Linked DNA regions of Diceros bicornis minor. The protein of the gene in region 1 interacts with the protein of each later gene in a biochemical or structural test. Links are inferred from orthologs where the notes say so. Each region holds a gene or a part of one and is shown in the gene's direction. Other genes may lie near its edges. The genes, in order: GNAQ and GRK2.

What was found.
Region 2: the proteins of GNAQ (region 1) and GRK2 form a complex in vitro, tested with the Homo sapiens proteins (3 studies listed by BioGRID). The link is inferred for Diceros bicornis minor from reciprocal best matches to the Homo sapiens genes GNAQ and GRK2.

Annotation. Positions count from the first base shown.
Region 1 is NC_080761.1:16,148,037-16,163,781, forward strand, and holds the start of GNAQ (guanine nucleotide-binding protein G(q) subunit alpha), read left to right. Parts: upstream 1-7,842; 5' UTR 7,843-7,967; coding exon 7,968-8,103; intron 8,104-15,745.
Region 2 is NC_080770.1:6,232,127-6,247,375, reverse strand, and holds the start of GRK2 (beta-adrenergic receptor kinase 1), read left to right. Parts: upstream 1-7,917; 5' UTR 7,918-8,122; coding exon 8,123-8,235; intron 8,236-15,249. UniProt on the Homo sapiens protein: Specifically phosphorylates the agonist-occupied form of the beta-adrenergic and closely related receptors, probably inducing a desensitization of them. Key regulator of LPAR1 signaling.

The DNA of each region.
Region 1 (15,745 bases):
GGGTTCGCAGGTTCAGATCCCGGGCGTACACTGACGCACCGCTTGTCAAGCCATGCTGTGGCGGCATCCCATACAAAGTAGAGGAAGATGGGCACGGATGTTAGCCCAGGGCCAGTCTTCCTCAGCAAAAAGAGGAGAATTGGCAACAGATGTTAGCTCAGGGCTAATCTTCCTCACACACACACAAAAGTATGCATATAGATAAAGGTCTGATGGGACAGTGAGTGGGGGAAGGGGCTAGCTTGGTTCTGGTGAGCACTGAGCCTAGTACCTACCAGCCCTGTGTTCTGCAGGACTGGCCTTACTTCCCGGCTAGAGTAGGCAATTATGGCTGCAGTATCCACCTACTGGCTGAGGCCTGCACATATGTAATTAGTTTTATTACTCTAACTCAGCTGTTCTCAATCTTGCCTGCACATTGGAATACCTGGGGTCATAAAAAAAACACTAAAAATATACCAAGCCTCACCCCAGACCCATTAAATTCAAATATTTGGGGTGAGAATCCAGCACCCAGTATTATTTAAAGTCTCCCCAGGTGGTTCTGATGTGCAGCCAAGGTCAGAACCAAGCTGTAAGCCGAGGCTTTAGTTGAAAATGCAAACCCTCCTGCAAGGGTGCTGAGATTTATTATCAGTAGGTTACGAGCTTCCTGAGGATAGGTAAAAAAGGTTAAATGAACCACTGATACTTTCCAAAAAAAAGGGGGACAAATTCTGAGACCAGGAAAGCTGGAGACCAAATATAATTTCCTCCAGGACTCACTCAGTTTAGAGGAAGGGGGCATCAGGAATAGAACATTGGGAGAAAACTCAAGTTCTAGTTCTGCTTTGCACTTCCTGGCTGCAGAACCTGGATCAATCTCTAGACCCTCTAGGTACGACCCTGCTGTAACATGTGCAATTGGATTAGCTCAGAGGTGTTGAAAATAGCCTGCAGGAAGAGGAAAGAGGAAGAAGTGCGGGGCTTCCCTGTCCCTCCTCCCTAATCAGTGTGTCTCCACCTTTGCCCTTGTATAGATTGGCTTCCAGTACGCTTTATTTTAAAGGAATGATTCCTAGATTTAAAAGAAATTCCCTGGATCACATGGCTTTTTAGGTCTCTTTAGTCTACAGTCTTTGCTTCTTAATGTCAGCCAAATAGTGAGCCTAAAATATTTAATATTTTCTGCATTTGTCTCATCATTTTTTGGGGTTTGATACCGTGTGTTTTGGGGGAGGCTGTGGAATCTTCTACTGCTTCCATTTGGACAATCAATGGCTTTTCAACCCAGTTCTTTTGTTCCAATTCCACAGGCAGAAATCATGTATATTTTTAAGTTGTAAAGAGTAGATAATCCTCCATAGCTCCTTCCTTCTTCAAAGTGACAAATTCTCCACTGGTGTGCCAAGTCATGTACAACTTCTATGCCAGGGCCAGGATAGGGTGAGGCAAGGGAGGCATTTACCTTGGGTGCAAAATTGAAGAGAGCACCAAATATGTTAGTAATCAAGATACATAATATTTTAAGGCAATATTTCTAAAAAATAATGCAAAAATCCATGAAGAACAAATTATAAAAATTTTAAATAAAGGGAGGATTACTAATAGTTTTGTGCCAAGCCATATTGGTGCCTCAGGCAAAAAAAAAGTGCCTCACTCACCTCACCCTATCCCATGCCCTATTCCACATTGTGCAAAGCACCCCAAATCTGGCTCTTAAGAATTTGTATAAGGATGGAAAGATGGAAGTATGTTGATGAATTTGGAAGGGGCCTTTGGAAATTTTTGTGGCTCAAACAGATTTTGGTAGGCCTAAGAGATAGGAAAGGAAAGAAAAAATAAAACAAGTGGGATACCTTTAGATCTAATTTTGTGGTCAAGAAGAGATATTTTATATTCCAATTTAAAATTGAAAAGCTATTAGCTTTCTTACATCTTGATAAAATTCATAATGGCAGACTGAAAAATTTACAAGGATAGTAACTCATTGAAAGGTTAATGTTAAGACCATTTCAATCACTGAGAAGGCAACACAACAGACACTTGTGTATTTTTCATCAACATGTGCTGTTTCATCAATTTATCACATATTGAGCAATTAACAACTTTGACTATATATTATGTCATGATCTCCAATATATAACATGCACACGACTTGAATTTGTGTCAGAAATACCAACTTTCATATAGTTGATTTAGGTGGAATTAATACATGTTTCCATATAGGTCTTGAACAGAAATACTGCATCTTCAGCTTTCTTGATATCCTACTGATGGCTGTTTTTCCTTGGTGAACTGATTTGAGGCAAGATTTTGAAGCACAGGCCAAGGAACGTTTTACAGAGGGAGCCAAGCTTTAGTGGGTACCATCTGGCTAAGAAAAAAAAAAAAAAAGGCAGACTTCATGTGGCCAATATATGTCTTCTTTGATTGGAGCATCTCTTTTTCATTCATTCAACAAATGTTTCTTAAGCATCTACTACTACCTCCCAGGCACTATTCTAGGTACTGGATTCAGGAGTGAACAAAACACAAAAATCCCTGCCCTTCTTGAGCTTTACATGAGAAATCATCAAAGGGAGATGAGTGCAATGGGATAAATGATTATTTGATTTACAAACACGGAAACAAAGAATGGGAAAGAAATCAATTGCCTCGATCAACTACTTGGTTAATTCCCAAATCCAAACCCCATCCTGCTAACTGCCTTAGAGGGCCCATCTGGAATGCCCATGTGTACGGTGTTACTGAATGGGGAGTATACACTGGTCCAGGTTATACAGCAATGGGGAGTAAATTAGGTGGTGGGAATGGTTGTCGTCTGGGAATGTAGGCCTGGGATTTGCCAGATCTTGAACAGGAATTGAAATCCAGATTTCTGTGTGAATGTCTTGATGTTTAAGTTCTGGCAGCTAATTCAAAATTTTCAGTAGCACTGTTAAGTTAAAAGCAACACTTCTTCAGCCCAAAGACCACCAGTTTGCACCCTGGGTCTTAGGTGGGAGTCTAGCAAAGCAGAGAGTCGGAGGTCTGGTGGCTCCCACTTGGAGCAACTCCAGGGCAGGAAGGAAACTCCTCTACTAGCGAAGTCATCCTTGATTCTTTGGGTGCCAGAAGGATCTGGATCATGATTTGGGGTGACCCGATATGTTGCTATCTGATTTTGGTACATATTCATTCATTCATTAAACATTAGTAAATGCCTTCTCTGGCTGAGACATTGGTCTACTTAGCTTAAAAATAGCTCCCATCTGGACAACTTTTTAGGGACTTCCAGTCTGATGGGACTTTGATAGCCTTTACACTGTGAGGTACAGTGGCTCCTGTGATAACGGTAACCTGGGATGAGCCCAGAATAGGTACATCGGATTGGTCAGAGCATCATTTGGACGCATTTCTGAGGTGGTAATGGAAAGATGTCATTGAGGTCCTCTGCTTTATCTAGAATATCTGTTTGGTGGCTTTGCAGGGTGAGTGTTTTCTCTTTTGGAAGAAGGTATTCTGTTTCATGCCTGGTCTTTCATCTTCAACATGTTGACCCTGAAACCCTTTTTCAACTAAGAATCATCATCTTTCTGCTATGAAAGCTGTCCTCTAGGTGGTGCCATTTGCAGCTCTCTCAGTCTCCCTGGGCCTGCTCGCCTGACTTCCCCACCAGCAAGGCCTCTACTCCTTGGCCAGACAGCTGTGCCAGCAAGCTCTCGCAGGATGTGCAGTGCTGCAGGCTGACTTCTAATTGTTCTTTCAGGTGACCCCTACTCCTTCGGGCTGCTTTGAATGGATAACTGCTCCTTCTTCTGAACTCCTCCAGCAATCCATTCTCATACTGTATGTTAGCAGCGAGTGCTTCCCATTTCACATTGTTGTTTATTCTTCTGTGCATGTGGACTGTCTGCCCAAATAGATGATTAAGCCTGTAAGGGCCTTGTCTGCCTCAGGCGTCTGGCAGAGTGCACTGCCTGGGACAGCAGTCTGTGAGTGTGTGTGCTGTGGATGCAGGTTCTGGTATTCTTTTGTTTATTCATCACTCACTGAGAAACTGTTGGGCTAGGCACTCTTTTGGGTGCCCGGAAAACAGTTATGAAAAACAAGGTCTATGCTCTCAAGCAGCTCTGAATCTCATGAGAGAGAGAGAGGAAGGGAGCGAGAGAGAAATCGACAATTACAGCCGTACAGTGCACGCTGTGAACAGCCACGCTAAGTGACTCTGGGAACAGAAGTGCAAGCTTTTCCTTCCCCAGGAGCTCCTTGTAGAAGAGTATGGCCTTTCCACTCTTTTACTCTAGGATCACTCTTAGAGACTCAGCTATGCCTTTTGGTGCTTTTCTTTTCCAGCACCCAAGGAACAGGGCCATATGATCATGGGGATAGGTATCTGTCTCAGGATACCATAGAAGAGGTGACAGTCTTCCCATTTTCCTCTGGTGTTCAGTGCTCCTAGGGTTTTGTGGTTGGCTTTTCAGCTATCTAGTAATTGCCCTTGAATCCTCAAAATGGTTTATCATCTTACTGGGGGTGATTTGGAATTGCTGATTTACTGTTTAGTGGTGTGGATACACATTTATTGAATACCTATTCATTCTTTAAGACGCATCCAAAAGTTCCCTTTCCTGTGAAGTCTTCTCCAGTTCTCCTGAACAGAATGAATTATTCCTTCCTTTTTATACCTTTATATTGTTACTTCTATGCCAACTTTAATATAAATTGATTTCATTTTGTCTTTTACTATAGCTGTGCAAAGCCTCATAATGATGTAAGACTATAAGCCTATTGAGGGCAAGGACCATATTGTATTCATCTTAGTATCCTCCCTCTTCCTGCACTTTTACCTTAGTTATTTACACATAGTAGGCAATGAATGTTTGTTGATTTCATGAACTGGGACTGGTAACATGATCCATGTTTAGTTGCATATTTTAGAGTATTTGCTTCTAAAACATGGTCCACAACTGCAGTAGTTTCTTCGTAGATTTTGTTTGCTTGACTTAGGTTGTATGAATATTTCCTTGGCAAATCCTTTCCAGATATATATGCAAAGGTTTCTGGATAGATCTGGGCTCAGACTTGGAATTTTCTTTTCCTGTTTCCTTCTTGACATCCGTATATGGCTTTATCACTGTCAAGTGTTGGTTTTCCTTACGTCCTGATTTCTTCCCAATACTTGAAGGAACATCCTTCTATTGATTTGTCTTATCCATTCAAATATCTAAGTGCCAAGGAATGCCCCTGATGCTAGGGATACAGGGGTGACAGAACAGACTTTGACTGTATCTACAATCTATTGAAACAGTTTAATTCCTTTCATCAAAAAATAGGTCAATTGAGTCAAAATGGATTACCTGATAGCTTCATGGCACAGTTTGAGAGACATTTTCAAAAATCTCAGGGGATCCTTGGCTAGGAAACCAGACACTTGAAGCTTCCTGACTGTCATGTTATCTTCTGGTGTTTTGTCTCTCTCTGAAGCTCACATATATCCATCTATTAGAGGATGCAAACTTATAATTAAGTTTTTCCCCTGAAGCCATTTAAAATTTCTGCATATTGAATTTCAATCTTCAATTTCATTGGTCATTTAATTTTAAACTTCACAGCAAGTCTAGTGGCTTTTTGTAGGCATTCACATGAAGGGGGGTGAGGGTTGTCCTTTCTGCTCTTTTGGCCAAGGTGAAATGTAATCATTTGTAGGCCAAATATCCTTTTAAAAAGGGAGCCTAAAATACAGATCTTATGTCTCGATGACTTGATTGATCTAAGCTCTGGCTTAGAGTGAGTGTGTGTGTGTGTATGAAGGGTAAAAGGTAATGGCAAATGAAAGAAGGTAGTCACACAGCTGTGGTTCAGGAAGCTTATGTGCACTCTTGACCTGTGGCAATAGTACAATCATGACCTTACTTTACACCCTGGATCAGCAGGTTGCACCAGAGACATCTCAGAGAAAACACAAAATGTGTAAAAGAGATTCCATTCTTAACATATAATTTACTCTCAAGACCTCAGGTTCCATTAAGGCAGAAAGCAGTATGAGTTTCACGTCTTGTAGCTATTAGATCCAAAAAAAAAAAAAAAAAACCTGAATGAGCAAGGAGATATTTTTGGCCATTTATCAGTCGTATATCACAACAAAATAAGGAAACAACAGTTTTAAGTAGTCTGCAACGCAAGTGTAAAAACAAAATACTAGATGAAACTTTGCCCGGGCGATCTTGGCTTTCCCATTTCTCTCTTTTGTTCTTTCCTTTTATTTTATTTCACATTATTTTGCATTTTCCCAGAAGTCATCCATAATTCAGTCTCGGTCTAGAAGGGTAAATTCGATTACTTGGCTGTTAAACATCGTGTGCCTTTTCAAAAATAGAGGAACGCTTGTAAAAAACAAAACAAAACAAAAACACCTTCCATGGCATGAAAAGTTGGAAGCTATCAGGAGGCTCTTGGAAACCTGGGCAGCTTCATTTTTCTGCTCAGGATTTAGATTTCTATCTCCAGGAACTTTGTGGCCAGTTTTGCCTGTTAAGCTCCCCCCACCCCTCCAGCAACCAGTGACAATTCCTTTTCCCCAGTCGCACTTCAAGAGGGTATCTTATTTTCTGCGACTGAACTGGGGTCAGAGGTGACGCGAGATACTTGCTAACCGCATGGCGTTTTAGGAATAGAGACGGCAGACAACACTGAAGTGGCTGAGAGCGGCCCCGGGGGCTTGACCGGCGCTGCCGGGAGGGGGGTCCCGAGTGCCGCGGCCGCCCGCGGGGAGTAGGACGGGGGTGCGCGGCGCCAGGGGGGCAGGGGGTGCGCGGGGCCGAATCCCGCGACTTCCCGGAGGGCCGGGGCCGCGTTCCGGGGCTGGTGGGCTGAAAGGCAAGCGGAGGCCGCCATATTCCTGCTCCACCACGCCCGGGCGGCCGCCGGCAGCGGCAGGTTGGCGGCGGCCCCGGCTCGCGGCAGCGGCCGCCGGTCCGGGCTGTGGCGCGGCGGCCCGACCCCGCCCCATCCCCGCCGGGGGCGGCCGTGACCGCTGCGCCCGCGGACCTCGCCGAGGGTGCGGGAGCGGGAGGCGCCCCGAGCCCTGGGGGCCCGGCCCAGCCGGGGAGCAGCGCGGGAGAGGCGAGAGGCGCACGGGGAGGCGCGCGCCGCGGCTGCGAGCCCAGGAAAGCTTTCCAGGAGGGGCCGGGCGGCACCGCCTCCCCGCTCCCCTCCTCCTCCTCCTCCTCCTCCTCCTTCTCCTCCCCCTCCCGCCGCCGCCGCCGCCGCCGCCGCCTCCCTCCCGGATCTGTGCTCCAGTTCAGAGAAAGAAGAAAATGTGTGTGTGTGGCGAAGGGGAGGGCGAGCACTGAGCAGCCGCTCCGCGCCTGCAATCGGGGCCGGGGGTGGGCGTCTGGCGGAGGCGGAGGCGGAGGCGGGGAGCGCGCGGCGGCCGGGCGAGCGGGCCGGCGAGCGGGGTTTGCGCGCGAGCCGGGCGGTGGGCGCGGGCAGGGCCGAGAGCGGCCGGAGCCGTGCCAGGCGGCGGCGAGGAGCGGGCTCGCCGGGCGCGGGGAGCCGTCGGCGGCCGCTCGCTGCGAGGTCGCCCCAGTGGATGTGCTCTCGCCGCCGGGCGCAAGGCTTAGGGGAGCCTCGGCGGCGGCGGCGCGGGGGGCGAGGCGGGCCGCCCGTTCCCGGGGAAGGAGGCGCGGGCGTCTGAGCGAGGCCGGGCGCAGCGGCCTTACCTCGCGCGCCCCCCGAGCCAGCGCCCGCGGCCGCCTCCCGCGCCCGCCTCGCTCCTCCCGGCGGCCCGAGCCGCCTGCTCGCGCCGCACCGCCGGCCCACCTGGTGGCCCCGGCCCTGGCCGCGGCCCCCGCGGCCGTTCCCCAGGCTCGTCCGGGACGCGCGCCCGGGCGGCGGGGGCTCGGCGGCCACCGCTGCCTCGGGGGAGCGAGGGCGGGAGGGTGTGTGTGCGCGCGTGTGAGCAGGGGGTGCCGGCGGGGCTGCAGCGGAGGCACTTTGGAAGAATGACTCTGGAGTCCATCATGGCGTGCTGCCTGAGCGAGGAGGCCAAGGAAGCCCGGCGGATCAACGACGAGATCGAGCGGCAGCTCCGCAGGGACAAGCGGGACGCCCGCCGGGAGCTCAAGCTGCTGCTGCTCGGTGAGTACAGCCCGGGGCCGGGCGCCGCGGGCCCACCCGCCGGGCCTTTGCACCCTCCGCCTGCCACCCTCGGTGCCCCGGGGCAAGTGCCCTCCGCGGCCCTCGCCCCCGGGCGCCGGCGGCTCGCCCCTACCCTTCCCGGGCGCGCCCCCGGCCACTACCCGCACCCGCGCGCGCGCGCGCGTACACACATACACATACACAGGCGCGCGCGCAAAGGGGTCGGGGTGGCCCTGCCCCGAGCCTCGGCGTGTGCCTTTTCGTGTCCCTAAAGGCTGTGTATCAGGGGTGCGCGTTTATCTGCTGTGCTTCTGCTAAATGGCACATCATTTCGGGGGAGAGGCGCGGAGGTGGGAAGGTGGCAGAGGGGTTGAACTTCCAGTGTGGTGGCCGCAGCGCTCGGTGGGGTGGTGGAGTGGGGAGTTGTGTGTGTGTGGCCCGAGGGTGGCGAGCGGAGCCAGGGTACGTTGGGGGATGGCGTGCGGTGGGGTGGCCTGTGTGCATCCATTATTAGTGCTTTCTGGGTTCAGGAGGGAATGGTGGAATGGTGGGCAGACTCGCAACTGGATTCTCCAGGCAGTGATGATGAGGGAGCCGAGTGGTTGGCCCTCCAAAGAAAGGAGGCTTGTGTACTCTGGGGGCGGGGAGGCGAGCCCTAATGTGTCACATAAGTGCTGTTCTCCAGCCACCAGACCACCGAAAGGAGAGACCTAGAAGAGTTTCTTGACCAGTGGATGGTGACAGGCGTGTTTCTCGTCTGCACCATTTCTTCTAGATAAAGATGAGGGATAGGGGAGCGTTGTGCTGTGTGTTGACAGCGACGAGTATCTTTTGTTTAATGAGGCAACCCAGATGTAGGCCTGAATTCACAATAGTTACTACTGAAAACCAGTACAGCCTCTCAATTACTCCCGTGGAAACAAATAGAAACCTTTTGTTTAAAACGGACAGCATTTTAATATTTTTGGAATCTGGGCTAGAAGGAAAACGGAAAGTATACAGCAAAAATTTCCCTTTAATCTCTTAAAAAAAACAATCCCACATTCTGCCTTAACACTAAGTTAGCAAGAAAATGCCATTTCTCAGATAGGAATTCTATTGATTATTATCTCTGAGAGTATGTTCAGAATGAACGATCAGGGTTCACATACAAGCCAGTGTGACAGCTCTGAGCTATTGTGGTAGGAAGAGCAAACAGCTTTGCAATAACAGGCCTGAAAAATGTCTCCACTTGTGTTCTGGATATTTGGTGTGTAATAAATACGTTTCTCAGACATTTCTGTAAGAAAAGGACGTTATATTGTCAGGATTTGAGAAGCATGCATTTTCTTTCTTATCTTGAGCATTCCATCTCCTGGTTCAAGCAACCAGTGGCCTTTGGGACTGAACTGCTTATGTACTGGATCATTTACAAGAAGGAATGAAATATAATGATCATGGAGAGTTACAAATGGTTAATTCACATGCAGTGCTCTATGTCTTCATTTTGAAACCAGATTAGATAAATGTGCACATGTTTATAAAGAAGAGAAGGCAGAATGCTGGATAAAAGAGGTAGGCTTTAGGGAATGAAGCCAGGGGAAGGGAAAACTGCCATTGGAAAATGAAGATCTTTTTATTTTTCGTTTTTATTCTCATTTTGGGCTACTTCTAATGGCTAAAACTGTGTAGTTGAATCGGTTTTCTGAATTCTCAAGATTGAGAAGAAAATAGAAGGGGCAGGAGAAATGTATATAGAGTATTTAAGTACACGATTAAGGGGAAAAGCATGTGTGTTAGAGAGACTTAAGAACAGTTTTTCTATTTCTTTTGCCCTGTTTACAGTCTTTGTTTCTGTTTTGCTGTGAATGGGGCATTTGAGGTCTCCCAAGCCAACCCTATTGCCCAAAATGTGACAGCTCTGGGTTCCTAGCAGCTGTGCGTTAGAGCCCAGGGGGTTTGTCTGTCTGGGGGCCCAAGGTTTGAATGTCTAGGAGGAGGATTTTTGGGGAAATACACATATATGGATGCTTAACTACAAACTGTGTGTTTAAATAACATACTGTGCTTTAAAAAATGAACTTGGAGATAATTTTATGAGAAAAAATTAAAGTAAAACAGTTTTACTGCTAGTGGTGGTAGTTCGGAGAACTTTTGTTTTCTGTTGTTAGATTTCAGTAAGGTTTAATACAGCCCCATCCCCACCTCCAAATATGCTCTATTGGAAGTGGTAGAAAAATATGACATTAATTTAGCACCTACACTCATTAGTAACACTTAAAATTTATAAGGCTTTCTGTTAGAAACATTATCCCTAGACATCATGTAAGAATTGCTACAGCTTCCTGTTCTGGGGTGTGTTGCTTTTGTAACATAGCTTCTGCAATACCTCCACTATTTATGTAGTAGATGCTATATACTAATTGTAGATTTATGTGTGCTCATGAGCCTGTGATTGCACGATTTCTTGAGTCCAGGAGAGAAATGATGGTTGACTTGAACCAGAGAAGGTGTTGGCAAGGGGTTTGAGAAACTCCCGGTGTGTTCCTTTGATGAGTGCACTGAATCTTCTGGTTCCTTCATTCTTTTAAACCGTACCTATCCAAAGAAGGTCACAGGATGTATCCTTGCATAGTTGAAAGTTTTACCAATATTTTTAACTACTTTATTCAAATTGAGGAATCACTCATATTTACATGAAATTCAGTATGAAATTATTTTCAAAGTAAATTTTAGTTTAAGGCATGACACCATTTTGATTCAGATAGATTTATCTGGCAGGCATAAAAGTGTGGACCCTTACATTTATTCACATAATTATTTAATTTTATATATTGATAATATGGAGAAATTAGAAAGGGAAAATAGTGGATACCTGCCTGGAAGAAAGTATGGCAGTAAAATTTGGGTTGTTTTGATATATATCCAGCAATTATGCCAATGTGTTCCAAATTCTATAGTACTTACATATTTTGATTTTTATTCTTTTTTTTAAAAAGGAACCCAGAAACCTACCGCCATAAAATATCTTATTAAATTCTGAATTCTTTTCTTGTTTTCTTTAACTTATTCATTCTCTGAATTCATTTTTTTTTAGTGTTTATTTCTTTTGATACCTCAAGGAAGACTTTGTATTCTACATATATGCAAGAGAATATTTTAACTTGGTTGATGTTTTTATATACTTTCTGGGTGTAAAGTACATTATATTTTCTTTAATTGATTAATATTCATTAATATTAACTAAATATTTCTATTGGTGGTACATGGGTCACACTATTTAATATCAGTATGTCTTTAAGTCTGTATAAAACAAGTGGTTTTGAATGCCTGCCTCCAGTTGCAATATTCATCCTGAAATTTTTTTCAGTTCCTTGAAGATACATTTTTTTTCCTATTAACCTGTTCTTATTTTACATGTTTTTGAAATTTGTACTCTTCAGATTTTAATCATCAAATAGGAAGATTTAGCAAACTCTGTTTATTGATTAGATTCCACCTTTTGGAAACAGGCAAAGTTTAGACCAGTCTTAGATGGAAGAATATATGTTGTTGATCTTTTAACTGAATTGCATATGTGATTATAGATTTTCTTCCTTTTCTAGACTGGAAGCTTCTGAGGGTAGCGATTGTGTCTGTGTTGTTCACTATTAAATCCCAGCTTCTAGCACAATGTCAAACTCATAAAAGGCTCTCAATAAATATTTGTTGAATGAGTACATTTACTTATGACTCTTCTGGTAGAAATTGGGACGTTAAAATAATGAATAAATCATAGAGACACGGAAATATGTAATGTTTGTATTCCATGGCAGATAAAATCATAATCTTCTTTAAAAAACTGTATGTAACTCTTTGAGCCAATTGAATACAAATGCATTCCAGGATCGGAAGTGTTACTGTAAGATGTTACATCACATATTGACCCAGTGTATTACAGTTCGTGCTGGGTGCATTTGGGAATGATACCGGTCATGCTTAAAGTATGAAAGTTTAAAGGAAAAAAAAAAAGAAACCATTCCATATCTTGATTACTTTTTTTCGTGTAGAAGCTAGTTTAACTCTATCATCTTTTGCCATAAATGTTTCTCCATGATACACTCATCGGAGTGGACTTTTAAATTCTCTGGAGCACAGGTGATAACAGATTTTTGCGATTTACTTATACAGTTACGTGAGGACAACCACAGTGATTAAATACAGAATTTTGGAATTGCAGGTAGAACCTTTTTAATTTGAGGGGTATACATTTGTACTGAAAACTGTACAGTTACAGAGCAGGAAGGGACCTGGAAGGCTGGGAATGCTATGGCAAATTTAGACTGTATGGAGAGTTCATTCATGCAGGTCTGGATACAAGCACCCGCCCCCCTACCCCTCCTGGAGTTCACTGGAGGAAGAATGGGGATGTTGATTGCCTGAATTAACCGTGAGGTTAGTGGCTGTCTAGGATGGCTGCTCAGAACCACAGAATGAAAGCATCTCTCTAAAGCAGCCCTAATAGCAGCATCTCCCTGGAAATACCAAAATATGGTGTTTATGAAGCTGCTTTAAGACAAACCAGTTTTATTTTTGCTACTCTTTTAGCTTCCAAGTGTTAATTATGTTTCTAAATGTCAAGATTTATTTGAATGCATTTCCTGTTTTTTTTTTTTTTTTGAAATAAAGTACTTCTAGTTTATATCTGAAGAGTGAAGTGGAACATCCCTCATAAAATTAAAAACTGTAGCTCTGAGCCGGCCCCGTGGCTTAGCGGTTAAGTGCGCGCACTCCACTGCTGGCGGCCTGAGTTTGGATCCCGGGCACGCACTGATGCACCGCTTCTCCGGCCATGCTGAGGCCGCATCCCACATACAGGAACTAGAAGGATATGCAGCTATGGCATACAACTATCTACTGGGGCTTTGGGGGGAAAAATAAATAAATAAAATTATAAAAAAAAAAACCACTGTAGCTCTGACTATATAACAAAGCCTTCAGAGTAAGATTTTTGCATTGAACCGTGTGGATTCATTGTCTAGGTCTGCCATATAATTGTCAATCCTGTATTGACGTGTTAGTTCTTCATATGGGAACTTTGGCACAAATGAAAACCCTTCTGAACAGTAAAATTGTCCTGTGTATATCTATTCAAATGTTTTTAGGTATGTTTAGAAAGGAGAACCAGAAGAAGAATTGAGTAGCCATTTTGTTTATTACAAATAAATTTGATAGCCTCTTTTTCATAAATAAACAAAACAAAACCCACGCTGTGCTTTATAAGAGATGGCTTATGTTCGGTTTTCAGAGATGCCTATTAAATATAGTTATGATTTTTATCACAGATGAATTTTTAAGGACCTGAAACAGCTTTCGCAGTTGTGAGGCTGCGTGCTATGCTAAACTTAGCAGGAAAAAAGGAACAGATTTTTCTTCATGATCCAGGCAAACTTATGCTTGAAAAGAAATGAACAAGATTTTCCAAGGATGATTATGATTCCAGCTTTCAGATTAATTTTTCTTTAAGGGGAGGTTATTAGTTCTGTTGATATTAGTGGAAATGTTGATTAGGTGCTGTAGAGAGAAAATAGGGAGCTGACAGGGAAGAGAGAGAAGCCATTTTAAGAAGGTTAGGATTGCTTTCTCCCTCAGAAGGTAGAGGGAATCTGTTTCCTCCAGACTGTATGTTTTGGGTTGAGGGAAATACAAGTATTTGTAGCAACAAATAAAGTCTAATTTCCTGGTTGAAGGGAGAGGGCAGTGACATTTTTCAAAAGGAAACTTTTATAATGGCTTTTAAGCAATGTTAAGATCTCTGCAGCGTTAATCCTAGGGAAGTGTGAAATAGCAGTAGAAGGTAGAATGTGTGATTGTTGGTAATTAAATCTGTGGCAATAACTGACTACAGTAAACAGTGAATGTTTTCTCTTGTTCTGCCGAATGGAGTAACGTTAAAGAAAGAGCTATTCTCAGACCCAAACACGCTTTTGTGTGAACAGCTGTTACTAATAAAATTATAGGAAGTTGTTCGACAGTCACCTTTGATTTGTTACGTTACTGATATGTAAAAATCTGTCTGATTTCTCATCTAACGTGTAGTAAAAAGAAAAAAAGGACCTAAACGTGCTGTCAGAAATGAGTCCATAAATCCTAGGTGGTCATGCATCTGAACTTTACAAACAAAAATAAACATCCATATTGCGATGCCGAGAACCAAAAACTAAATTCGCTCAATAGCTCTGGGGTTGGCTTTTATACCTAGCCATAATTTCTGAAATCAGTGCAGAATATTTTGCTAAACGCCTTTATGGTTCAATGTTAAGAACAAAATTAGTATTATTTAAGAATAAAGTTAGGATATTTCGAATTCATTTATTCAATAAACATTTGCCAGTTACTGGAAAATAAACATTACCTCCAAATTTTTTACCAGGCATACCTTAAGAAAGAGTAGTTGCATGCAGAATGCTGATCAGATGAATAAGTATTAAGCACCTACTCTGTGCAAAATAATGTGCCTGTGAGACCCTCCTTATTTCTTATTTGCCAGCAGGAAAGACTACAAGCCCTTTTCACAGTTCTTGTTGTTGCACAGCTAATGCCCTCCGACTGACATGTCCTTCTGAGTATTATCCTTCCTGGCTTTGGCTTTTCTACTGGCTGTAAATACAAAGAAAAAGACAAAATCATCTGAAGGCCATTGTAGAAGCTTTCCGGGGATTACACAACTGGAGAGAGCAGATGATCTTGAGAATTTGAACTCCTGAGTTAGATATATTATTTCCTTGGAGCCTATCATTTTTTTTGCCTTAAACTGTGAGACGCTGTTTGTGACCACTTGCCCTGTGTTTCTAACTGGATTGGAAGCTCCATAAGGGCAAAGATAGTGGCTCTTGTTTCTGTGTATCTCAACGTAGCACAATTACTTGCTCAATTTACAGTGATTTTCTTGTTAGTAACTGAGACGTGGGCATGGGGGGTAGGGGTAGGGTGGGCAGCTGGATTCCCAAAAGAAAGGAGAGCAGTTGAAGAAAGGAAACTTAAACTTATTGCTGTCTTCTGATGGGTGTCATCCACATGTTCTCCATTTGCCACTCTTTGCTGTTCTGTGGTCCATGGACCACCTGGGGCACAGTAAAAGGAATTCTCTTTTCAAGACGGAATAGTCTTTGTCTCCTTGCCTGCTTCTCATTCATTCTTCAGTGAGAATGATTCAGTTTAACATTCTCATATTGTTTCAGGTTGAAAAGCCAATAGCAGTTTTTCCAGAAGTTTGATTGGAAAACGGTTACACAAACAAATCCTTTGAAATTTGAAAATTCCATGCACCTTTATTACAAGATTAATCTTGGATTGTGAGCAATTTGAGTGCTTTAGAAACAAAGTAGTTGTTTCAAGGAAGTGTGTAATGGATTGTGGTGTGGTTGGGAACTAGAATGTTATTAATGCCATTATATTTCTGAAACCTCACAGAAGGGAACAATAATTGATCCACAAATTAAAGAAAAAGAGCTAGAGTGAGACTTTTTGGCTCTGTTGCAGGAAGTGAGTAGTGATGTTTGGAAACATATTCATGTATATTTCTAAGAGATAACCTCCCCTTTTTCCCTTTGGAGAACTGAAATTATGAATTAATGGCCTCTTCCCAGAATTTGACTTTTTTTTTGATCACCATCACTTGCTA
Region 2 (15,249 bases), on another chromosome or scaffold:
AAGCCACCACTGTCCAGAACCTTGACCACAGCAAGAGCCCTGAGTGGCCTCCCGGCCTCCAGTCCAGCCCCCGGTCTTCCATGTTGGCAGCCAGAACATTTCTCTTAAAAGATAGATTTGACTACTACTTTGCTTAAGACCCATCAATGTGTTTGTCTCAGGATCAAGTCCTCAAGCTTCTTCACTCACCATTTGCCCCTCAGCGTACTCCTCTCCACCCATAGCCAACTTTTTTCAATTCCACCATATCTGGGCCTTTACATGTGCTGTTCCCTTTGCTGGTACACCTTCCTCAGTTTACATGTTACTTCCTCCAGAAAGCCATTTCCCATCCTGCTCAAGACAGGGTCATGTGCTCCCATAGTATCCTCCTGCTTTTTAGGACTCTAAAGTCCGCCTCCCCAGCTAGCCGGGAACCTCCCCCAGCACAGGGATCAGTCTGTTGCTCACCATGTCATCCTCAGTAGCTGGCGCAGAGCTTGGCACATAATAGATGCCCAAGAAACACTACTGAGTGAGTGTCCCCAGTAGCTCGGATACCCAGAGGCCTATCCCTCCCTGATACAGTTGCCACGTTCCCCAAATTCACTTTTTCCACTCATACATCTTTCCCCTTGGTTCTTGTCCTAATGCTACCAGCCTTTTTTATTTTTTCTTGCCTATTTCCAATGTAACCTGGATTCAGCTATGAATTAACCTTCCTAAGGCATGCACAGAAATCTTCAGTAACCCTCCAGGGTCAGGTGTCAACTCATCCTGCCACTGGCACCTGTAAAATGGGAAGCACCATGGTTAGCATGTGGCAGGTGCTTCTGTCTCGAGGCCTCGAACTGGAATCCTCTGTGGTCCTTGGGCTTGCTGTGTTTAGCCTCGCCACAACTATGAAAATTCATGCTTCCTTCAAACACCTCTTCCTCCAGAAGCCCTTCCTGTTTCTCCTCCAACCAGAAGAATTAACTTGGACATTCTGTGCCTTTTCTAGCCAACGACAACATAGTAAAAACAGCTGACATGTAATAGGCCTCACTATGTGTTAATCACTGTTCTAAGCACATACATGTAGGAACTCATATGATCCTCACAGCAACGCTACTATTTATTTATTTTTTGTGAGATCAGCCCTGTGCTAACATCTGACGATCCTTTTTTTTTTTTTTTTTGCTGAGGAAGACTGGCCCTGGGCTAACATCCGTGCCCATCCTCCTCTACTTCATATGGGATGCCGCCACAGCATGGCTTGCCAAGCAGTGCGTTGGTGCGCGCCCGGGATCCGAACCTGTGAACCCCAGGCCTCCGCACTTAACCGCTTGTGCCACTGGGCTGGCCCCTACAGCAATGCTACTACTATCCTCATTTTAAAGGGGAGAAACTGAGTTACGGACATTAAACAATCTGCCCGAAGTGACTTGGCTAGTAAAACCTGGAGACTCAGCTCCGCAGTTGGTCCTACCCACCTGGCCTTCTAGCCTTTGTGTACATGTGATCTAATGTCCTGCTCACACCCAGCCCCAGGGGGCAGGTGTCTTCATTCTACAGATGACAAAGCCAAGGCTCAGAGAGGTGAAGTGATGGTCCTAGAGTCAGTGGCAGAGGTGGGACATATGTGAACACTGGGCCTGGGACACCTGGGACATCTCTCTCGTGTCCTGCTGAGCATCCAGCCCTCTCCCATGGCACCGTGAACTCCTTGACGGTGAGGCTAGCCTTAGCCAGTTCTACCTCCCCCTCATCTGTCCCAGGAGTGGGGGGAGAAGGAAATTTACTGAGCAATGTAAGGTGGGTGTATGGGATGGGAGGCAGGACCGACTTTATGGGTGAGTGACCATGCAGTCACACAGGGCCCTGCACTCAGAAGGACCCCACACTTAGCTTAACACTCTGCTGTTGCCATCTTGAAATTCTTAGTAGTATTTGAATAGGGGCTCCGCATTTCATTTGCAGTGGGCCCTGCAAATGATGTAGCTAGTCCTGGGGCAGGGACAATCCCAGCTCTCCTAGGCCAGCTCTGTGCTAAGTGCCACTTCAGTGGCCAGCAGCAGAGCAGGCCTGGCACTTGCTGGCTGGGGAGACCTGTCCTACCATCACCTTTCCAGGTGCCCAGGCCCAGAAGGAAACCTCAGCACCAACACTCATGTGTGGGCTGGTAACAGTGAGAGCAGGCACCTGAGGTCGAAGAGCGCCTGGATTTTGCCCTCGGCCTGGCGCTGTCACCTAGCTTCTGCCTCCCCCACTTGCCCCATTCCAGAGCGCTACAGGGGGTAGGCAGGTCCAGTTGCTATCCGCCCAGAGTGTGCCATGAGAGTGCTAGGATGGCAAGACAGAGGGACAGAAGCAGAAAGGGACACAGACACAGACACACGGAGAGAAAACACCCTGAAACACCCAGAAAAGGAAAGACAGAGAAAGGGGGAGGGGAGAAGAGAAAGGAAAGGAGAGAAAAGATACCATGGAGGACGCCTAGAGAGAGACATCAGTGAGGCCCAGGATACTCCACGTGTGACAGTGGCCACTGGGCAAGCCATCTCCCCCAGCCCAACACTGCACACACATCATCTCTGTTAATCCTCAAAACAATCTAGTGAAGCCAGGCTGGAGGCGCTCCATGTACAGATGAGAAAGGCAAGGCTCAGAGAGGTTAAGCAACTTGCCTAGGGCACCCAGCAGGGGCAGTAGGAGGTGACACTAGCATTTGACCCCAGGTCTTTTCCACACACAGACTCCCTCCCCCCGACATGGCAAGTACCAGTGGCCACAGCGTGGGGCCGGTGGGGACTACGAGACCATGCCTCGGACACTCCCAGGTGAGCTGGCAGGGTCAAGGCACAATCGTGCGCGACACGAACCCAACAGGCTTCAGCGCCAGGCTGTGCCGCGGCCGACGGCGCGCACGCGCGCTGGGGACGGCTCCAGGAGGGCGCCGGGGGCGGGACGCTGCGGAGACCGTGGCGGGGCGGGGCGAGGCCAGGGGCGGGGAAGGGGGCGGGGCTGGCCATGGCCCGGGAGGGGCCATGGGCGGGGCCGGGGCTGGTTTCGGGGGCGGGGCCGGGCCGGGGCCATGTCCGAGCTGAGGTTCTGAGGCGGAAAAGGATACGGGCCCGGGGCGGTCGGGGACTGTGCGATCTTCCGGAGAGTTCCAGGGAGAGGCGCTGCTCCCGGGAAGCAGGTCGGGCGGAGCCAGCGGTCAGGAAGCCCGGCCCAGGGTTGTGGGCCGGTGCCTGCGGGCCGAGGGGCCAGGGGCCGCCGAAGGTCCTTGGACTGTGGCAGGAGGGGGCGAAGGAATGGCGTCCTGGAGATGTGGGAGCCTCCTGGATAACCAGGGCCCTTTCCTCCCTCAGGGCCTCCGCACTTCATTTTCCACATGCCTAAAAAGCTCTCTTGTCTGCCCCTAACAAAACTGCTTTCCTCCCATCCTTCTGGCTCTGGCAAAAATGCCCTTCCTTAGAGGTTTCCCTGGCTTCACCTGAGGAGGCTCCTGGCTCTTAAATTAACTTGTCACCTGCCTCATAAGGATGTTTTGAGCATTAAAGGAGATGATCCGGGTTCTAGGCACAGTACCCTGCACAGAGTGAGAACCCAATAAATGTCAGTGGTTATTATTATGTGTAGGTTGCTGGTAAATTCACTGCCTGTCTCTCCCTATGTTGGATCCACAAGGTCAAGCCCTGGCATGTAGGAGCTCGACAAATCTTGCGGCATGAGTGAGTGAGGGAATGAAGCGAACTCCCAGCATCCTAGCTGGAGCCTGGCACTGTCTGGGCCCCCGCTGTCAGAGAGGTGTCTGTCTGTGTTAGGCAGGAGTTTCTCCCGATCAATCTGGACACCCCTCCTGGGGTCAGGGAAGCCCCCAAGCTCATCCTCCTGGATCTTCAAAGCCCAGGACGATGGAGATGGAGACGTGAGGGGCTGCGGTGCACTCCTGGGCCTTGGCACGTGCCAGTCCTCACTCACATTCACATGCACACAATGTCAAGTTCAAGACCTTCCCCATTCCTCCTCTGCCCTCTATGACCTTTCCCCAACCCTTCCCCTGACCTTCTCCTGAGTGCTCCACCTCCTCAAATCATAGCTCTTGCCGGGTTAATTGGAGGTATATGTTTAGGGGTCTTCTTCCCCACTGGACTGGGCCACCGCTGAATCCTGTTTCTCTTTGCAGCCCTAACCTAGTGCTGAGTGCCATGCTGGTTGTGAGGGATGCAGTAGTGACCATGACAAACAGGGGCGCCAAGGGAGAGCCCTTGAGCAGGAACCTTTCAGCCCACGAGATGCAGGGTGAGCAGGAGCCCACCTTGCCGGAAAGGAGGGGAAGGACATTCCAGACAAGGGGAATTATGAAGTCAGGACCCCAGAGGTGGAAATGAACTTAGCTTGTTATAGTGACAGAAGGAAGACCAGAGAGACTGGAGACTAAGGGGCCCGGGCATGAAGTTGAGTTAGAGAGGTAGGCAGGAGCCAGACTGTGCGGGTCTTACAGGCCACAGAAAGGGGGCTGGGTTTTATCCTAAGTGCAGGGGCAGCCATCGGAGGTGGGGTTTGATTTAGGCCTGTAAAAACTCTGACTAGAGGAGAGGCGGGGAGCCCTGAGAGGAGGCTGGTGCAGGCATCAGCACCAGGCGGGAAGTGATGGGATTCGGATCGGGTTTAGCAGGGCACAGTGGAAGGATTCGGAGTAAACTTTGGAGACAGACACACCAGGGAGTCGACAAGACAGGCTGGATGAGAGCATGTGTATGTGTGAGGCAGGGCAGGTGAGGGAAGACAGGAATCAAGGATGACTCCTAGGCTTTTGGAAGGTGGAGGAGCCACGACTGAGATGGGGAGGCGGGAGAGCAGCGGGTTGGACAGCGGCTGGGTGGTGGGAGCAAGAGCTCAGTGTGGGACGCGTTAAGTTTGCAACACCTATTAGTCATCCAGGGGAGATGCCAGGTACTGATGTGTATGTGGGTCTGCCAGCTGGGCAGAGATGGGGTTCCACCCCTCTTTCACTCCCAACATCCCAGCCGGAGGCTGGCACAGTCTGGGCAATGACAAAGGTTTGCTGAGACAAGGAATGACTGAAGCCAGCCTGAAAAGACAAGTTTACAGTTGACCTTCCTTCAACCACCAGAGGGCAGCACCATCCAAAAAAACCAGCCTCCCCAGGCCATGGACTGGCACCAACCTCTTCCCAGCCCAGGGCTTCAGGAGTGGCTTTCCAGGATCCCAGGAATCAATGAGGGGTGCCCTGGACACTGGCTCTTTCCAAAGTCCCCAGGCTTCAGGCTCACCAGGGCTGCAGGTTGGGCTGTGGGTGGGAGAGGCAGTGTGGGTTTTCAGGCGGTGGGGGGAAGGTAGGGCCACCTTCTGGAGCAGGATGGCTGGCATTTCAGAACCAACGGGGATTCTGGTTTGACAAGTTCATCAGGCAGAATTTTTAAAATAGGAGCTGCTCCAGAAAACCCAGGTCAGCGTGTGGCTGTAATCAGAGTCCCAAAGAGTTGAAGAGTCAGGGCGGGGCAGGAGGGAAGGTGAGAGGCCTCCTGTTGTGGCATCCTCATGTGCCTCTGGCCCTGTTCTGCCCCAAACTCCACGTGCCACCTTGGGCTGAGGAGCTCATTCACTCAGTCAGTCATTCATTCATCAAACATTGACTATGCCTTTCTGTGTCAGGTCCCATGGTGGGAACTGGGGGCAAAGAGATGAACTGGGAGCATCAGTTACAGTGGGAGATGGTAAATACTTTTTTTTTTTTTTGGCACACATTAGCATTTCTGACATCAGGGTGCATTTTCCAATCCATGCAAACATGTTATAAAGCTTCACACACACCCAGTGTCTAAACTGGAAATGATGCATCTTGCAGTTGATGATGTTTTCAAATCAAGGAAATAGGTGGTAAGTGTAGAATTGGAGATGCACACAATGGGGGTCAGGGTGTTGGGGAAGGCTACCTGGAGGAGGTGGGTCTTAAAGGATGAGCAGGAGTTAGCCAGGAAGAGGGCACACAGAGGGCTTCCAGGCACAGGGAAGGGCAATGGCACAGAGGTAAGAACTGGTGGGTGGGCTGGTAGGGGGACCCTAGGTGCAGAGGATGGTGGCGACACAAGCTGGAAAGGGGAGCAGGGCCCAGGCATCCAAGACCCTGACTTGCAGGTTAAGGAACTTGTTCACCTGATCTGCTTTGGGCAGAGTGGGGGTGTCCCCCATGCTCAGCAGCTCCAGAAGGCCTCGAACACTGCTTCTTGGTGCTAAGCAGGCAGTAACTCCATGAGATCTAGATGTGGGAGCGGCATCTCTGGTCAGGGCCTGTATCAGGGCAGCAGCCATGGGGATGCTGAGAAGCAGACAGGTTCAAGAAGACAGGTTCTCAGGAGGCCAGACAAGAGGGTATGGTGATAGATTAGGGCAGGGGGAGAGAGAGGAGTCAAGGATGATGCCCGGAGATCTGGCTTGGGTATCTGGGTGGATGGTGGTGTCGCCCACTGAGAAGGGGACCTTGCCATCTCTGATGTGCTCTGGTTCCAGACTCTGCCAACGCTGATCTCAGAAGGTAGCCTGAGAGGTGTACAGGGAGGGGGGTCCCTGCTTTGCAAAAGGGTCCTGGTTACTGGCCCACAAACTGTCATGAGGCTTGGGCTCCATATGCCCGGGACTGGGAGGGGATCTTGTCACCTTGGAAAGCAGAGAGAGGCTCTAGAGAGGGGCATGTTGAGATAGGGGGTGCTGCTTTGAGACACATGGATCCCCCTACTGTGGGCTCTCAGCAGAGGATGTTTCCCTTACCAGGCAGCACTGAGACCCCTGTGCCCTCCCAGGCTAAGAGAGGTTTGAGCCCGTCTTGTGGAATCATGATGATTCCATCATAATGCCATGGATGGCCTGGGGTGCAGGCCAGGACCTGGGTCTACAAGCCAGTCCAGGGAGGGTAGGGGTTGGTTCAGGTTGTTTGGTCCCGAGTGGGAGTCCTGGGGTCAGGGTTGGGTCTGGAGCAGGAGGGGTAAGAACTGACTGGGCTAAGTCTGGAGTTGTCATGTCCCAGGTTCATGGCCACCTGTTAAGGGTTCTAGGTCCAGTCTGGGTCCTGATTGGATGTCCTGGTCCTGGGTCCCCGTCCAGAGTTCTTGGTGTTGGGTCTAGGACCCTGGTCTAGGGTTGACAGTTCAAGTCTGGATCTGGGCCCTGCCCCCAAGTCCAGGGTTTAGGGTCACGGTAGTGGTCTGGACCTGGGGTTGGAATCAAGGTTGGGGTCAGTAACCAGGATGGGATCCAGGTCATGGTCTGTGGCTGGGATCAGTGTTTGAGGTCATGGTCTAAAATCTGGATCTGGGGTCCTGTTGGGGGTCTGGGGTCCGTGTCAGGGTCTGGCTGTGGAGTTGGGGACCCCAGGTTGTGATCCAAGGTTGTGGTCAGAGTCTGAGGTGGTGGTCCAAGGTTTGGGTCTAGGGTCCTGTTTGGAGTCTGGGGTCAGGAATGTTATCCAGGTCTTATGTCACGTGGTGGACTGCGTCCAAGGTCAGGGAGTCAGGGGTTAAAGCCAGGGTCTGAGACCCAAGTCCCTGGGATCATGTTCTGAAGTGCCAGTCTGGGGTCAGGGCCGTGGTCTATCCTGGAGTCTGGGATCCGAGCTGGGATCCGAGTTGCGGTCAAGGTCTGGGTCTAGGGCCTCCTTCGGTGCCGGGTCCCTGTCGTGTTCCAGGTCTGGGGTCAGGGTCACGGCCCAGGCCCGGGGAGGGGTCGGGTCTGAGTTGGGGTCCGGGCGGCCACGGGGTCAGGCTCGGTCCGCCGCACGGCCTCCAGGGGGCGCCGCCGCCCGCCCGCCCTCCCGGCCCTCGCGGGTTCGCTGGCGCTGTGCGCGGCAGGCGGGGCCGGAGGCGGCGGCGGCTCCGGGGCGGCGGTGGCGGCGGCGGCGGCGGCGGCGGCCCGACTGCAGTCCCGGCGGGAGCGGAGCGAGCCGGGGCCGGGCCCGAGCCGGCGCCATGGGGCGGCGCCGCCTGTGAGCCGCGGCGAGCGGAGCCGCGGGCGCCGAGCGGGGCCGGGCGGGCGGCGGCGCCCGAGGCCGACGGAGCGGCCGGGCCGGGCCGAGCGCGCCGAGCCGAGCGGAGCGGAGCCGAGCCGAGCGGCGGGAGAGGCCGCCGCCGCCGCCAAGATGGCGGACCTGGAGGCGGTGCTGGCCGACGTGAGCTACCTGATGGCCATGGAGAAGAGCAAGGCCACGCCGGCCGCGCGCGCCAGCAAGAAGATCCTGCTGCCCGAGCCCAGGTGAGGCGGCGCCGGCGCCGGCCCCGGCCCGCGCCCGCGCCTGCGCCCGCGGGCGCCCTGCCCGGCCCCCCGAGCCGGCGCCCGACCCCCAGCCCTCAGCCCCAGACCCCCCAGGCGCGAGCCCGGGACCTCTCAGCCCGTCCACCGCCCCGGGACCCGCAGCCCCGAGCCGACCCCGCAGCCCCAGGCCCCGTGCACCTGAACCCGGGCGCCCCAACGCCGGGGCTTTCCTGCCCCGCTGGCTCCTCGAGCGCTCCGTACCCCCCGCCCCGCTCTACCCCCCTGTCCCTTCCTCCACTCTAGCTGGCCCTCATCTCTGTCGGCCCCTGCTCCTCCCTTCTCCCACAGGGGCCCCATGCCTCCCTTCATCCTCCTCCGGGCAGCCCGTGCTCCCCGTGGGGTCCCCTCCTCCGGCTGCCACCATCTACCTGGCCTGACTCTATTGCCCATCCTTTTACTGCCTCTATTCTGGGCACCCCCCTTGGGGTTCCACTACCCCTACCCCTAGCCCCCTCTGGTCAACACTTGTGTGAGATCTGGGGGAGACAAGTCTTCCGGGGTCTTCTGCACCCTTCTGGTCGGTCGCTGGCTTGGAGTGGGGTTTGAGAGTGCTTTGGGGGCCAGGGTGGTGGTGAGGAGCAGGGTGTGGTGTGTGCCCCATCCCAGTGGGAGAGACGCCCCCTGTCCCTCTCCCCTCGCATTCCCCCTCTGGTGGGCCCTGCCTGTGGTGCCCTGTGGGTGCTGTTTGCAGGGGAACATCCCAGAACCCTGCAGCAGCTGGACCAAGGCTGCCCCCTCTCCATGAGACATCTGATGTCATCACACCTGGTATCAAAGTTGAAACTGTTCAGGATGTAGTATCAGAAGTACACAGGATACGGACGATAGCTGAGGCTTGTCCAGCGTTTTATGGCTTCTAGAGTATTTGCTCGTTGTTTGAGCCTGACAGCAGCCCATGAGGAGGTAGGACAGGTGTGGTTTTGTCCCCATGGCACAGGTGGAGAAGCTGAAGCCTGCCCAGTGTCACAGGTAATCCAGAGTGGTGCCTGGCCCCCAGATCAGGGCTTCCGGCTTCTAGTTCCATATTGTGTCCACCACTCTGGCGTGAGCCGGGGCCTGGCCGTTCTGCATCTACGAGAGCCGTGTGCCCACCACGAGTCCTCATGTCATGTGGCCAGGCCAGTCCCAGCACGACCTCCATACCTGCCTGAGAGTTGGCATGCTGGTGCCTGGCTGGCCCGGGAGCCTGGGCCTGTGCTAGGTGTCATGGTCTTATCATGTGACTTTGGGCAAGTCCCTTCCCGTTTCTGGGCCTCGGTTTTCTCATCTGTGAAATGTGGATGGTGTGAAATAATGGCTGAGACTGTGCGGCGTTCTGAGTCTTTGAAGCAGGGCCCGAGGCTGCAGGGGGTGCCATGCTGATGTCTCCGGTTCCCCCGTCCATGCCTTGTTCTTGCTGGGTTTCGGGTTGACTGCACACCAGGCCTGGGAGAGGAAAATGGGTCTGCATTTTGAAAAGGTCGTTAGAGCCCTTTTTTTCTAAGACATTTGCAGTCAGATTTCTCAAAACAGGAACCAGACTGACTGTTAGCTGGGGGCTGTCCAGGGAGCGGCAACAGTTAGAACAAAAATGAGTTCAGAAATGACAAAGCCACGAGGGAGGAAATGGGGGAAGTCAACCTTTGGGGTTCTCAACGGCTCTCCTTGGTGGCCGCGGCCTTGAGACCCTCCTGCCGGTTGGAGTTCTGCAAAGTGTGAGGCGGGGCCTTTTCTGGAACTCTCTGCCTTTGGGTAATCTCTCCCCAGAATGCATTGCTCCTGATGGGGCCCCGCCTTGGGTTGGCCATGCAGGTGTTAGAACCCTGAGAAACGAGGCGTTCCTCTTTTCCTGTCCCCTTTACCATCCGTGGTAGTGATGGTGGCGACAGGAGTGATGGTGGAAATTATAATTTATTATTTATTTTGACATCTGTCATCTCAGTTGATCCAAAACTCAACCTGTGAAGTTGGCAAGGCTGTGCCTTGCGTGTAGTAGTTGCTCAAGAACTATCGGGACTGTGTGGTGTCAGAAGCCAGGTGGACTGCGAGTTTTAGGGGAACAGCAGGAGACGGGAGCCAGGTGTCATGGGTTCTCATATAGGGTCACCATCTGGCAGCACGACCTTGGGCAGATTGCCCCCATCTGTGAGGTGGACCAGAGGCTCTAGCAGTGACTGACAGTGGGCTAAGGACAGGGAAGGGCCAGAGCCACTCTGTGCAGCAGGCCGGGGCTGGCCCTGGGAGTCCAGGTCTCCTGCGTTGGAGGACACGTCACCCTTTGCTTTATGCTTTGCACACCCAGTGGGTCAGGTGCCTCCTGCCCTGGGAGGTCATCATGACTGTATCTTGTGTTTGCCTGGCACGTCCCAGTTTGCTTTTTACTCCATTTTATCCTTTTCACAGCTGTGGGCAGCAGGCACAGCAAGTGGTATGCTCCCATTTAATAGTTGAAGCAACTGAGGCTCAGAAAGGCGGGGGGGGGGGGACACACTTGGTCACAGAGACAAGCTAGAATTTGAACGCGGGTCTCTGCACCCCCAGGGGCTCTCTCACTGCTGTGCTTCGTTTTCTCCACACACGCCTCTGCACCTCTGCTCTCACCCCCTCCATGTTTTGTGGAATGTGCCAGCTGGCCTCCCTCCTCTGGGGAGCTGGGGGTCTGGGGAGGTGGCCTGGAAGCAGCAGGGCAGCCCCCAGCGCCGTCAGCTGCCTGGGTCTCAGGCCCAGCCCCCTCCCCCTTGGCTGGGACAGAGCTGAGGTGCCCTGGCAAAGCTGGTGCACGGAGCAGGCAGTTCCAGGCCTGGGGTCATGTCTTCCCCCCACTCACAAGGTCAGAGTGAGGGAGGAAGGCCACGGTTTGTCCATGACAAGGTGCCATTTGGAGTTGTTCCCACCTTGGGGTGGTCCATCTTGGCAGCCTCCCTGTGGCTGGTGCCCGGCTTGTGGCTTGGCTGGGAGCTGGGGCTGGCATCTCAGCTCTGACTTCGCAGGGCTGGGGAACGGGAGCTGTTGGGCACAGTGCCACTTAGAGTTGGCACAGGGGCCTCCCATTCTGTCACCCTATAGAATCCAAGGAAACAGACCCATTTCTCAACCTTCTATTGGAAGGAGGCAGCATCGTGTAGCTGGAAGACAGGAGAGCTGGCTTCTAATCCCGCTGCAATACCAGCTCATGTGGGACCCAGGCATGTCCCTTAGGCTGGCTGAGCCTGCCTCAGTTTCCACCTTGGTAAAACGAGAGGGCTGCACCTTCACCGATGACCTCTCGGGGTCTGTGGTCTGTGCCTCTCCCTGGAGGAGCCGTTGTCTCCTTCCCCAGCAGTGGCTGCAGTCCTGTAATTATCGTCATTTTCTTAATATGACCACGGAGCCCTTGTGTAATTAATCTCTAGGCTCCCGGCTGAGGAGCCCGGCCTGGGCGGTCCCAGGAGATGCCCCTGCCCTCCCTGGTGACAGTGGCAGCCCCAGCAGCAGATTGTCGGAGCCGGGTGCCTCTTGCAGCCTCCCATTTTCTTGGCTCTTTCCTGGTCCCTCCCCCACCAGGGATTTCCTCCTTCCAGCCCTTTCCTGGCTTCCCTGTCTCCCAGACCCCCCACTCTTCCTCTACTGCTTCGTCGTTCCTGTTAACTCTTTGCCTCCAGGACTTCCTGCTCTTGGTTTGTGGGGGGAAGGGGTGCAGGGGAACGTTTTCTCCCTTCCTCCTCCCTCCACTTCTCCATCACCAGCAGAAACCCTGCTGTTTCCAGCCTTTTTCCCTTACCCAGAACTTTCCACTCCAGTAGCAGTGTTCTCTCCTCTCCTGCCCCTGGAAACAAGATTATCTTTTCGGCAGGCAGTCATTCCCTCTGGGCCTTTGAAGCCCCCGCTTTCCCCAGGAATGAGTCTCTGGGCCGTCTTTTCCCATCTGTTCTCCTTTCCAGAGCACGGGTTTCACATTTTTGCCATTAAGTTGCTCGCTCACTCACTTACCCGCCCGCCGTTCCCTCGGTAAATGGATTTGAAGGGAGCGTGAGCATTACAGGTTGGAATCCGTGCAGGGGAATATGGGCTCTGTCAACCCGGGAATAACGTGTCCTATTAATGCACGATCAATTCCTAGTAGTAAATTCCCGGTGACGTCAGCTGTAGGCACACTCCACAGCGGGCGGTTCCTCCCGCCCCGGGCACCCAGGTCGGCTTTGCAGGCGGACTGAGCGCTCGGGGGCTTGAAGGTTCAGGCTGCGTGCACGTGGCTGGTGCTTCCAGGATCTTGTGCTCGTGCCTCGGAACAAACAGCAGAGCCTCCATCACACCTGCCCTTTCTTCCTGTGGCCCCTCCCCGCTCTCCTGTGGCCCCACAGGCCAGTGTCCTCCGCTGCTCGCATAAGATGGGATTACACTCAAGTTATCACTAATCTGTTTCCATTAAGGGGCACTAAAAATGAGGTGTCTGGCTGCAGCTTTTTTCTAAAACAATAGCATTCCTTCTCTACATCGCTCCTTTCTGCAAAGGGTAGCGTCTACGCCGGCAGAAGAGCAGGGTTTCAGAAGTGGGTCTTCTGTGTCAGCAGCTCTGTCCTCTGAGGGGGGAGTTCTCTGACTCTGGAGGCTGTCCTGGGTTTGGGGTGGGGGACAGCCTCCTTCTGGGAACTGCAGGGCAACGAGCCCTGGAAGTTTGTTCTTGGTGCATTCTAATGTGGTGGCGGTAAATTCCAGGGTGTGGTGTTCATGTCATATTCGTGTAGAAGCCATGACATATGACAAGGCCGCCAGAGTGTCTCTTCCCGCACATCCTGCAGGGAGCCACTCTGAGGCCGCCGTGCCGTCGGGAGCCTGGGTTGCTGTGGACATTTGCAGTGGGCTTGTGTGTGTGGTGCCTGGTGGGGGTCATCTTCTCTTCCAGGGCCGAGGCTTGCTCCAGAGTTGACGGTGTGGGTTGGGCTTTCCCATTTGGTGTGTGGCCCTGTCCTCGGGCTCTGAGGATATTGTCAGCCCCAGGAAGAGTCATTGAGAAATGTTAATAAGAAGCCCCAGGGGACTTCCTCCTACCACTGCCACCTCACTGCCATGTTTCCTGGAAATGCCACAGAGGAGTACCTCAGCCGTGGCCACAGCCTCTGTTGTGCTGGCTTGTTAACCATCATCTCCCAGGGCATAGCAGTTCCCAGGGTGGCTGCACCAGACCCGCCAGGCCCGTAGCCCCCGTGCCAGCTCGCACCATCCTGGGATTTCGTGGCTCTGGCATCCTTGTCACACAGGAGCACAGGAACCATGGCCCCTGGCCTGCCAGATGCCAGCTAGAGCTGCCCCAGCCCGATGGGCTCCCGGGAAGGATGCTGCACAAGGCCGGGGTCACCTGAGACCCTGCACCCAGCTCTTCCTCAGAGGTTGAGGGGAGGCCTCTGCCTAGCGGAGACGCTCTCTCAGGGAGCCTTGGATGTTTTCTCGGTGTGGGACTCTGGCCAGCTGCTCAGCTTCTTCTAGCCTTGATTTCTTTCCCATCAACGCGTGTGTGTTGGCTTCTGATCCCTGCAGTCCACATAAGCTACAGTCTATGACCCTCAGTGGGCCCAGGCCAGCCCGCCAGGTCGCTGCGCCACAAAGCGAGAGACTGCTTTTCTTCTGAACCACATGGCGCCGAATGGTACCGGAAGTTCTCCCCCTCAACCCTCACCCCCTTCCTGCCATCCTGTCACCCCAACCCGCACTCGGGGCTGGGAGGGAGGAAGTGCTCTCTGCCTCAGCGTCAGGCTGGGCCTGCTCAGAGCAGCTGCGGCCAGAGGGAACAGCCTAGGCTGTAGGTGGCAGTGCCAGGCAGTTCCCTGCCATGGCGGGGTAGGCCTTCTGCCAAGGCGCCCTCCATGCTTCGTCAGGGCAGGTATCAGGCTCTGCCCACTGGGGCCCGCAACTGAGCAACAGGAGTGCATGAGGCTGGTCTGTGAGCAGAGTGGAGTTGCAGCCGCTCGCCTGGCTCAAGGAGTGCTCGTGGGCCCAGCTCCGGTCAGGGCTCCCCGGTCAGGAGGCCACCTGGCCATAGGCCCTACCCTCTGAGGACATGGCAGATGTGAGACAGAGACCCAAACAAGGCCATGTAGCTTATGATCACGTTCTAGAAGGAGACGCAGGCTGTGGAATCCCAGAAGGAGGGCTTCCTCCAGGAGGGGGACACAACCTGCTGGCCCTCACAGTGAGGCTGGCATCTTAAGAGAGTTCTCCTTTGCTGTGTCCTCTCAGGCCTTTAAATGGCCAGCGCGGTGGTGGCGATTCAGCATTTTGTTGACATCCTCATTTTACAAATGGGGAAACTGGACATTTAAAGTTTGTGACTTGGCCTGGCCTTCCAAAGGGAGAGCCATTTGGAACCCAGGCCTGGGCTCCCATCCGACCGTGAGAGCAAAGGCGGCCCCGAGGCCCTTTCCCAGAGGGACTGGGAGCCTTCGAGTCCTTCTGGTGGGGAAGATGCAGACACTCGGCTTTCTTGACAACCCAGAGTCGATCTGGGAGCCACATGCTCCTAGATGTCAGGGTTGTTGACCTGGGTGGGGGCAGGAATGCTGCTCTGGGCTCGTTGCCACTCCAGGCTCCACCAGTATCAGGGAGCAGGTTTTGGAGACAGAGGGGACCTGGCGCAGGAGGCTGCCACCGCCTCCCGTGCCAGCCGGTACTTGCCACCCTGACGGGAGCTTCCCCCGTGACACATTTTTCTAACCTGTCCACTCCCTCAGCCACCAGCCCCGTGGGAACGGACAGGAAACCCTCACGTTGCCGCTTCGGGGGCCTTCCCTTCAAGGGCCCTGCTCAAGTCTGACCTCGTGTTTGGTTGGGGGGGGTTGTTTATTTTATTTAGAAAACATTTTTTTCTTTTTAAGGAAGAAAGTAGAGCACTGTGGGCTGGGAAGAATGCCGCGGCCATCCCGTGCGGGCTTCTGAGGGAGGCGGGGTCTGCCTCCGAGGCCACTCGGAGCCCGGGCCTGCTTCCTGCTGTTCCCTGGGCTG